Linked DNA regions of Mus musculus: region 1 is reported to be linked to region 2. The links are microRNA targets in miRTarBase. Many come from high-throughput screens and were not tested one by one. Region 2 holds a microRNA gene; the other region holds the end of a gene's coding sequence.

Region 1 (5,073 bases), not on the chromosome of region 2:
AGGTAGAGGCAGGCAAATCTCTGTAAATTCGAGGCTAGCCTGGTGTACAGAAAGAGCAAGTTCCAGGACAGCCAGGGCTACTCAGAGAAACCCTGTCTTCAAAACAAAACAAAACAAAACAAACAAGAAAACAGAGCCCTAAACAAAAAACAAACAAACAAAAAAGCCCTCTTTCTTTCAACACAGGAGCAGAAAGTAACTTACACAGTTCCTAGAGGGTAAAGCAGCCACATGAATTATCTGACATTCTTCTGTAAAGATTCATCTTTTCTCCCATATTTATTCAATCGTTATTTACATCGACATCAACTCCCAGGAATTTACTTTGGGTTAGAACTAACACTATGGTGCTTACTCTGTGGCTGTGAGGAAGCTCTTCCCGGAAGTCCCCTGGCTATGGAAATACCACCTTCTTTTCATTTCTTTGAGAGTTTCTTTCTTTCTTTTTTTTTTAAAGATTTATTTATTATTATATGTAAGTACACTGTAGCTGTCTTCAGACACACCAGAAGAGGGAGTCAGATCTTGTTACAGATGGTTGTGAGCCACCATGTGGTTGCTGGGATTTGAACTCTGGACCTTCGGAAGAGCAGCCATCTCACCAGCCCCCGAGAGTTTCTTTCTTAAACAAAAAGAAATTCCCCTTCAAGTCCTAGTATGTCAATGTGACATTTTAGTGCCATTGTTTCAACATGGCTGTTTAAAGGGCGCATATGTGCTTTTATTATTTTCAATTTATAAACCAATAAAAAAATCCTTTTAGTTTCCTCAATTACATAGTATTCACCAGATGCATGCAGAAGACCATAAGAAAAGCTGACTGTGGGCTGGAGAGGTGGCTCAGCAGGTAAGAGGATTTGCTGCAGCAGGTAGAGGACCCTTCTGAGCACGTTCATGGCTGCAAATAATCTTGTGTAACTCCAGTTCCAGAGTTACATGATTTTCTTATGGCTTTTGTGCATGGAAGCAAACATTTATATTATCTAGAATTGATTTTTAATTTTTTTTTTATTTTTTGGTTTTTTGAGACAGGGTTTCTCTGTGTAGCCCTGGCTGTCTTGGAACTCACTCTGTAGACCAGGCTGGCCTCGAACTCAGAAATCCGCCTGCCTCTGCCTCCCGAGTGCTGGGATTAAAGGCATGCGCCACCACTGCCCGGTGGCACTGAATCTTCTTGAACCTTAAGCTTCCTGTCTGTAGAATGGACACTGTTTTTTTGTTTTTGTATTTTTTTTGACAGGCTCCTGTGAGAAGTTAACAAGCTAACCTAGAACAGCTTAAGAACAAGGGACTCTGGGGGCCAAGGAAATGATGGCTCAACAGTGAAGGGCATTTACTGTTCTTGCACAGGTTCTGGGTTCGGTTTCTAGCATTCATATGATGACTCACACCGGTCTGACTCCTGCCTCAGGGGAATCCACCACTCTCTGTTCTGGCTTCCACAGGCACTGCATGAATATGATGCGCACACATACCCACCTAATATTAAAAACAAATCAATCTTTATGACGATCAAGGACTGGCAATGGACAGGCTCGATGTAAATCCTGGCCTGTCACTTTGATAAAGGAGACCGTGGGAACACTCATCAGGAATTAAACATTATTAGAGCTTGGCTAAAATCACTGCTAATAAGTTGTTCTTCTTTCAAAACTGTAAGCACTCCTGCTGACGGGGCAATTTGACTTCTCAATCACCAGCTGCTGGACTTACCCACTGTTGGCTGCTTTGAGCAAGCGGGCTGTCAAAAGCCAGCCAGCTATCTGTATGACATCACTGTTTGGAACACTGTGTGAACACCTTGAAACGACACAACTGCAGCTCCCCAAGGCACAGCCTCTGCCAGGCCTAAGTCAGCTTCTACTAGATGTTTGCTAGCACAACGTCAGTGAATCCTAGATGACCTTGCAACCATTTTCAAGGAAGGAGAGTTTGTCTGATAGCTTAGCAGTGACTGCGATGCTAGTGTTCAGACAAGGCTGTGATTGGTGCAAACACAATTCTTCATTTACATATAAGTTTTTCTCAAAGTGGCACAAACACCCTTCCTTAGCCTTCATAGGCTGTTGAGCTCACTTTGTCAGCTAGGAGATAACCTCTTTTTTTTTTTAAATTTATTTATTTATTGTATTTACTATATGTAAGTACACTGTAGCTGTCTTCAGACACTCCAGAAGAGGCATCCAATTTCGTTAAGGATGGTTGTGAGCCACCATATGGTTGCTGGGATTTGAACTCAGGACCTTTGGAAGAGCAGTCACACTCTTAACCCCTGAGCCATCTCACCAGCCCCAGGAGATAACCTCTTGTGCTGCCTCCCCAATAAAAGATTCTCTCCAGTAGTGTTTCCTTGCCATTTTTTAAAAAGATTTATTTTATTTATGAGTACACTGTAACTGTTTTCAGTCACACCAGAAGGCAGCATCAGATCCCATTACAGATGGTTGTGAGCCACCATGTGGTTGCTGGGATTTGAACTCAGGACCTCTGGAAGAGCAGTCGGTGCTCTTACCCGAGGAGCCACCTCTCCAGCCCTCCTTTCCTATTTCTAGCTTACTTCTTAGTTGTGAGGCTAAGATGGCAATATAAAGCCAGGAGAGTGGCAGCAACAGCAGACAGTGGAGTGGCAGGCAGAGCTGGAAAATGGCTGTGTGGCTGGCTGTTGTGACAACCGAAGAGGCAGAGATAAAGGAGAGAAGGCTGTAAAGAGCTGGAAATGAAAACCAGCAGGCCCTTGTCACTGGAGGTTTCAGAGAGCTTCTGTGATTTTTACAAGTCTCAGACACCCCGAGACCTGTACGATTTAACACTGGCAAGGCGAAGGAATAATAACTTCCCAAGTCTATACAACAGCTATAATACTTGTAATGAGGTCTACCCAATAACTTAGTATTTTAGAGCAAAGGGTGGGGTTACTAGAGGCTTCCACAAGATCTATAATGCTTAATTAAGGGTCTAGCATCCTAGGCCCCTAGAGCTATAACACTAGGTGGCACTCTTCTCCACCTGTCTGTTGCCACCACTGCCAAATGTTATGGGATATATATATATATATATGCGTCAAAGACCAGCACCTAAAGATCTCTGAGCCTATGATCTACCCAGAATAAAAAGACCTGGAGCCAGGGGCTAGCCACATTACTACCTGTAAAACCACAGACAAGTTATTTTTCTGTGCCTCATCTTATTCATAAAATGGGAGGTGGGAAGAGACAGCTTCTTCTTCAGCTAGTACTTAGTCGCTGGCCAAGGATACATCCAATGTCAGCCATTAATACTGAGTCTGAATAAACCTTCAAAGCAGGGATTATCCTGTCGAGTTTACCCCCTCAGCTTAGGGTCTCACATACAGAAGAGGCGTGGCATTTATTAATGCTTGTGTGTCTATACAAAATGTAAAGTTTCTCACCGAGGCAGCAAATGAGTGACCTGCAGGACAGTGCATAATGTATCTTAAGCCACTATACAAACATGAGCAGAATCACAGCTCTCAAGAGTCCACATGCCATTCTGCAGTGGAGAACATAAGGAAACTTTCCATGTATTCCTAACTCAGAGTAATCTATCACACTCCCAAGACTACATGTACACACGGTGACAGTCTGGCCTTGATTCTTTGTGTAGTTCCCTCCCTTAGTAGAGAGAACAGCAGCTTTGCAAGAACCAGAACAGCTCTCATTACTGCCTGCTTCGTCTTGGGCATACATCCATTTCCCAGGTGATCTTAGTTTCCCTGTATGTAGTTTTCTCTTTGGAGGTAGGGCCTCCCTCTGTAGTTCTGGCTGGCCTTGAGAGGCCAGTCTTCCTGACTTTGGCTTTACTTGTTAAGCACTGGGGTTATAGGTGTGTAGCACCAGGGTTGGAAAAACACAAACCTTCATCTTCCCTTTCTCCCTCAAAATTCAATATTGATGGGCCTACTACTCGCCACAATCTGTTTATAGTCTGGTTCCTGTCAAACAAGCAAGTTCCTATCCCCTAGGTGCCAAGAGTTCAAAGAACTAAGTCTGTAATTTCAGTGGCTTTCAGATTCACACTATAAAAACTTTTGTTCAGCCTAGTGTAGTTGTGCAGGCCTTTAATTCCAGCACTCAGGAGGCACATTTCTGAGTTTGAGACTACCCTGGGTCTATAGAGTGGGTTCCAGCACAGCTAAAGCTGCACAGAGAAACTGTCTTAAAAACAAAGCCAAAAAATTATTTTCCTTCAAATGTAGTATTACAATGTATACAAAGATCAAATATTTTATTATCATTTCTTTATTACTCCAAGAAAATGATATTTAGAAGCAGACGTTTTGGCAACATATCAGATAGTCACAAACCTAAAACTAGTTGTAGAACTGACCACAGCATTCAGTTGTGCTTTTTGATTGCACAGAATCGATAACTGATTTTAATAAAAGAAACTAAATATCTTAACCAGCCTTGGCTCAGGGTCTTCAGCATAAATGTGGGCAACACCTGAAAACTATTGATAACTGATAGCACCATCACATATGACTATTAAACATGCATATAAACTTTTGACTTGCTGGGACACTGTACTAGCAGAATGGTCTTTTGATTTAAATAATTATCAGTGTAGAATGACATCATTTTTATCAGTAAAACATTGGGGAGACATTCAGTAAACAACACGACAAAGGGCGAGTTACTTTGGCAGCATAAAGAGTGGATGGGCTGATCTCTGCAATGAGCTCTTCCATCTTGTTCTGCTCATGACAGCCTTGGGTCTTGGGTCAAGTGCAATAGCCTTCTAATTCGGCCTGAAGGAGGACCTCTTCTTCTTCGGCCTCCTTATCTTTTATCAGTGTCAGCAACTGCAGTAAGCCTGGGGCTGGGCTACCCTCCGGCAGCCCAAGCTCTCTTCGAACTGATTTGTGGACTGCCCCAGCAATGACTTGGTCTAGACGGGCCTGATTCACAACTTCTTTCTCAATTGCTCCTTTCTGAACCAGTTTCTGCAATAAAGGCTCCAACCTTAGAACATAGGCAGACAGCTTTTCATCAGTCTTCTGATAAGTAGTAAGGTATTTGACCTGCAATGCTCTAGGATTATCAATAATCCCAA
Region 2 (5,073 bases):
TCTCAGGCTGGGGCCCATTGGTGGGTGGGAGCTGGCCTCAACATGCCCTAGCAGTCCCGTTTATAGGTTTAGGGTTTACTCAAGGAACTGGGGTGCTATGGGAGAAACTTCGCATAGGGGTAACCATGGGTATTCCCATTGGATAGCCAGTTCTTGAAAGGGTCACAAGACCTTTTGTCAGTCATGGCCAGGAAGGCCAGGCTCAAACTAAAATCTTTTTCACTCTTAACCTCCTGGCTCTTCAGTGAGATCAGCCCAGCAGCCTGAGAGAGGCCTCTGAAACACAGGTCAGTTAGCCCCACAATAGTCATAACTCCTTATGGGCTGTGGGAAACATACTGGGTTAACTACCTAGCTAATCCCAGTCCTCCCCAGGTCCAGCTGAATGGCCAGGAAGAAGACAGTGCCTTACGCACCTTTAGAGGGACAGCTGTTCCCACACTGGGCTGTACTCCACCTCTCGTGGTGTGAAGCCCCCCTCTGGGCTTGTGCATCGCCTTACTATTACCAAGTGTTGGTTTTCTAATCTGGAGGAGGGGAGAAGGTATGGAAAGGCAAAGCACACAGTTCCCTGGCCCCTCTGTCTCTCATCCTCTCCTCAGTCTCTGTCACTCAGAGTCTCAGTCCCCCTGTGCTCTCACCCGCCTGTCTCTCCCTCTTCCTCTTTGTCTTATTTCTTCTATTCCTCTTGCAAATGTGAGGCCGAGGCCATAGCCCAAGGTTGGGGAGAGCACTGTAGCTGCAGCTGCAGATGGGAGGCAGCTTTCATGATGTGCCAGACGGAGGCAGAAGGGGATGGATGGGGCCTCTGTTGGGGCCCTTTGGGCGCAGGGCCAGAAGGCTAGTTCTGAGGGCTCTTTTTTAGACCCACAAAAATCTGAAAGTGGGGCTCTTACCAACTAGTATCCCTGAGAGAACACTTCCTCTAGCCCAGGGGACTCAGAAATGTGTCTGAGGATAGGCATGGTGGCATATGCTTTTAATCCCAGAGCTTGGGAGGCAGAAGCAGGTGGATCTCTGAGAGTTTGAGGCCAGCCTGGTCTACATAGTGAGGTCCAGGACAGCAAGGGCTACATAGAAGAAAAACAAAACAACCAAAAATACTCTCTCCATTCTCTCTCTCTCTCTCTCTCTCTCTCTCTCTCTCTCACTCTCTCTCTCTCTCTCTCTCTCTGTGTGTGTGTGTGAATGTCAGCATGTCTAAATTCTTGGGGCTACTATGCCTCTTTTTCTATGGAACAACTTTCCACCAGGACAGATTAGCCTAGGCCTCATTGGGTCCAGACCTTCAGCAGTCTGTCCCTCCCCTACTCTTCTAGCCACTCTTTTCTTTTTAGATAAATATTTACTTATTATTATAAATAATAATACACTGTATTATTATTACTTATTGTTATAATAAATAAGTACACTGTAGCTGTCTTCAGACACACCAGAAGAGGGCGTCAGATCTCATTACAGATGGTTGTGAGCCACCATGTGGTTGCTGGGATTTGAACTCAAGACCTTCGGAAGAGCAGTCAGTGCTCTTAACTGCTGAGCCATCTATCTCTCCGGCCCCTAGCCACTCTTTATAATGCCTATCAGCCACCACTGACCTTTCTCATGGCCAAAAAGCCCAGGTCTATGGGCATGAGGTAGGAGATGGCTCTCAGAGCGATATGGTTTTGGATCCTGTCACCCACAGAGTCCCCAGATTGCCTTAAACTCCAGCCCTTATGACAGTCCAGGTTCTGTAGTTCTCAAGTATTCATGCCCTGTGCTACCGTGCCATGGTCTGAGCTCCATCCCGGGCATTGTCAGGAAGGCTCTGAGCTATTGGCCTTCCCTGGATTTTCTTGTATGTGCCCATTTCCAGGGTTCTGTCCTTGTCCGCTGCTCTCAGAACCTGGGCCAGACTCTGCTTTTCCCCAGGAGAATGGGGGCTACCCAAGGGCTATGCTGAGGCTCACTGGACTCACGGTTACAGATGCAACCTTAGTCTTGCCTTAGTAAGGCAGTGTGACCTTCCTCCGAATACTATAGACGTTTGTCATGTGGGTTTGGCTATCTCCTAGCCATGGCTGGCACTGACCAGCTATCATTGACACACTGAAGAGCTGAGCTGCCCAGCCTGGGTAAGGAGCAGTGTATGTGTCTGGATGTCTGCTGTACTTGGGATCTGGGTCTGCAGAACAAAGAACCACACAGACGGGCCCAGGAATGGAAGCATGGAGCCCTCTACTCCCTAACAGCCTCTGACTACCCACATTCTGGAGAGATGGCTCAGCAGGGGTAGTCCATGAGACCCTAGGGCATGGCATTTTTGTGCAGTCTCTGTGTGGGTATCCTTGGGTCTTTGATGTCTCTAAGGAGCCCCCCCTCCCCTCTATGCTGGACATGGTTTCTTGCTCATGAAACCTTACAACCATGTCTTCTATGCCCCAATGGGAGTTCTGGTAAAGGGACAAGGCCTATGCCCCCTTTGTACCACAGAACACCCTCCATGGGTCTTGGGCTCCTGGTCAGCACCCATCTGGACCCTCTGTACAGAAGCCACCAGAGGTCTGTCCAGTTGGGGCTTCCTGGGAGCTTCCCAGGGGCAAGAGTCTGAGTCTCGGTTTTCAGCTAAATAGAGGACAGTTATGAGACACTGTCTTATAGGCCTCAAGCCTGGCCTCTAGCAAAGTCCAGCCTCGGGGCTGCAGAACCACCCAGAGACACAGCTATCACTGAGCTGAGCAGGTCCAGGAGGAGGAGTGCCCTTCTCCCCGGATGATCAGTGCTCCTCTGTATGCATTTCCCGGGCCCCTGACGCCAGCAAGAGATAAAAATGTTGAGAGGCAGCTGGCCAGGGCTGGCCCTATCCCAGTTCCTGGGCCAGCAGCCCCCTACCCTGGGGGCCCTATTTGCAAAGGACCTGTTTATTCACACCAGGTCTTTGTGCCCCAGCCTCGCACGTGCGGGGGGTGAGACGGGGTCCTTGGCACGGAGCAGCTCTCTGACCACATGGGACTGCGCTGGCCAAGGTCTCAGCCGTGTATAAAAGGGGTGCCTGGGTTGCAAGCAGCAGGACTTCACCGAGCAACAGCCAAGTCCTCTGACACTGCTTCCAAGCTCTGTCTCATTCTCAGGCCACTAGCAGTCTGGACCCAGGTAAGGCTGGTTTGCCTCCGGGGACACGGCCCAAGCTTAGTGGGGCTCTTTTATCACTTCACAGAATGGCAATGCCTGCTGTCCCTGGCCTTAGCTCTAAGCTTTTTCTGGTTGTCTTTTGCAGGGGATCAATCCTTCTGGTGACTGCTGCTGCTTGCAAGTATCAAATGATGGCCCGCACATTCTCGCTGGCTGTTCCTTTTTCCTATGCATATACTTCTTTGTGGATCTGGTCTAAAGAGGTATAGCGCATGGGAAGATGGAGCAGTGAGATCTTCCCCACCCAAACAAAGTCATTAGCATCTGCTTCCTGACCAGGCGACTTCTGCTTCCCTTCCACTGGACCTGGGGCTGGGCGCTTTCCTGTCTGCTCGGGGCACTGTAAGAGAAGAAGAGCCGCACTGCCTTTCCCGAGTCTTCCAGGGAACAGTGATTCCTACGCAAGCGGATCTTGGGATCCGGTTGTTCAGGTGTTAAAATGGAGGGCTTGGGATAGAATGGAGGGGCACATCTGACCTATCCGAGGTTTTACAGAGGGTGTTGGGACAGGAACTGAAGCAGATCTGAGTTCGTGCTTAAGCAATCCTGAGTTCTAGGGACCTTAGAAGAGGCGCATAGGCTCAGGACTTGATCTTTGAAATTTTCCTTATGAAATTTTCTTTAGTGTGAAATCAGTGTGACCACATTTTCACACTAGTGGATGACGTCGGGTCTGATGTTGGAGGAGGTATAAGGACCAGCTGAGGGGTCAGTGGGCTCCAGGATTCAGTTTGTGTAATTGCTTCGCACCATGATTACATTTTTATCATGATGGGTGTGGTTGATTTTTTTTTAACACTCAGTGGCAGAATGCTTGCCACTCACGAGGGAGGAGGTCTTTGGGTTCAGTTTCCAGAACTGAAAAAAAGATGAAAATCAGGAAAAGCTGATGAAAATAAAATGTTTGGACCAAGCTGCTCTGCTACACTGCATTTCCCCATCCCCCATGATTGTGGTCTGATATGTGTGTGTTGGGGGGGGCATGCATCATGCTGTGGGGAGCGACATCACCTGGGCCACACTGAAAGTGTCACATTGAGATATCAGAGTTAGTACATGTGGGTATTACAAGGGAAGGTTTCACATCAAGGGAAGGATGCACACTGGGGTTTGTCACATGGAGTGTCATATGAGGGGAGGGGGTGAGGGATGTCACACTGGGTGGATGGACATTGGTAGCATCACATTGAGGGAGTTACGCTGGATGACATCACGTTGGTGTGAAGGACAATGGGAGTGCCACATCAAGGGATGAGGCATCAAGGGAACAGACTGGAAGCTGTGATCTAAGTGTATAAACGTGAGGATTCCCAGGATCCTTGGTAGGACCTTCCCTGGGGATGGCCTAAGCTGGCTCACTATTTAGAGGGTCAGACTCTTAGGAACTTGGGAGACTTGTGTGTGTAGTCTTTATGGATGAGGAAAATAAGCCTTTGTGAGCTGAGCTGCCAAGTTGAGCCACTGGTCTTGGAGGGTGTGGGACCTTCATCCTGTCAGCCTTAGCAAGCAGCTCCTAGTTCTGTCTACTAGCAACGCCCCACACACATCTACCCCAGGCTGTGCCTCACTTGTTCCTTAACCTCCTGAATTATCACCAGTGGGCACCCATCATGGCCACTGCCAGAATATGGGGCCGGGGGGGGGGGGGGCAGAAAGAGGAGAGAACACATTGAGAAGGTTCCCAGCAGGAGGGAACGCACCTGGCTTCTTTCCCCAGGTTCTGGCTAGCACAGTAGGAGGGAGAGATTTGGAGGGTGGGCCCCAGGGTCTAGGATAAGCCTTGAGCATAATGACTAAGGAATGGGGAGGGGCTGGATCCTCCTTGCCTATGGGAACACTGCAGATCTGGGGAGATTGGGGGCTCCAGGGAGCAAAGAGAGTGTGGGTCAAACCCTGGGC

What was found. The annotated mature microRNA mmu-miR-202-5p reads UUCCUAUGCAUAUACUUCUUU and lies in region 2 at 3,338-3,358, shown strand. An mRNA with a match to its seed (bases 2 to 7 or 8) in the 3' UTR can be bound and repressed. Matches are read on the target gene's strand: a 7mer-m8 pairs with bases 2 to 8, a 7mer-A1 pairs with bases 2 to 7 and ends in A, and an 8mer does both.
Region 1: miRTarBase lists Moap1 as a target of mmu-miR-202-5p. Seed matches in the 3' UTR shown: 7mer-A1 at 3,969-3,975 and 7mer-A1 at 2,540-2,546.

Annotation. Positions count from the first base shown.
Region 1 is chr12:102,737,489-102,742,561 of GRCm38, forward strand. It overlaps Moap1 (modulator of apoptosis 1), which reads right to left. Exons shown (of 2, transcript NM_001142937.2): 2 at 2,342-5,073. The coding sequence ends at 4,742. Gm20604 (predicted gene 20604) reads right to left here. Exons shown (of 2, transcript NM_001142939.1): 2 at 2,342-5,073. Among named protein-coding and RNA genes, the nearest start is that of Moap1, 3.6 kb to the right of the region's middle.
Region 2 is chr7:139,956,017-139,961,089 of GRCm38, reverse strand. It overlaps Mir202 (microRNA 202), which reads left to right and starts at 3,330; the gene lies at 3,330-3,401. The region is part of intron 1 of Gm16201 (a long non-coding RNA gene); the gene reads right to left. Mir7686 (microRNA 7686) reads left to right here and starts at 3,468; the gene lies at 3,468-3,524.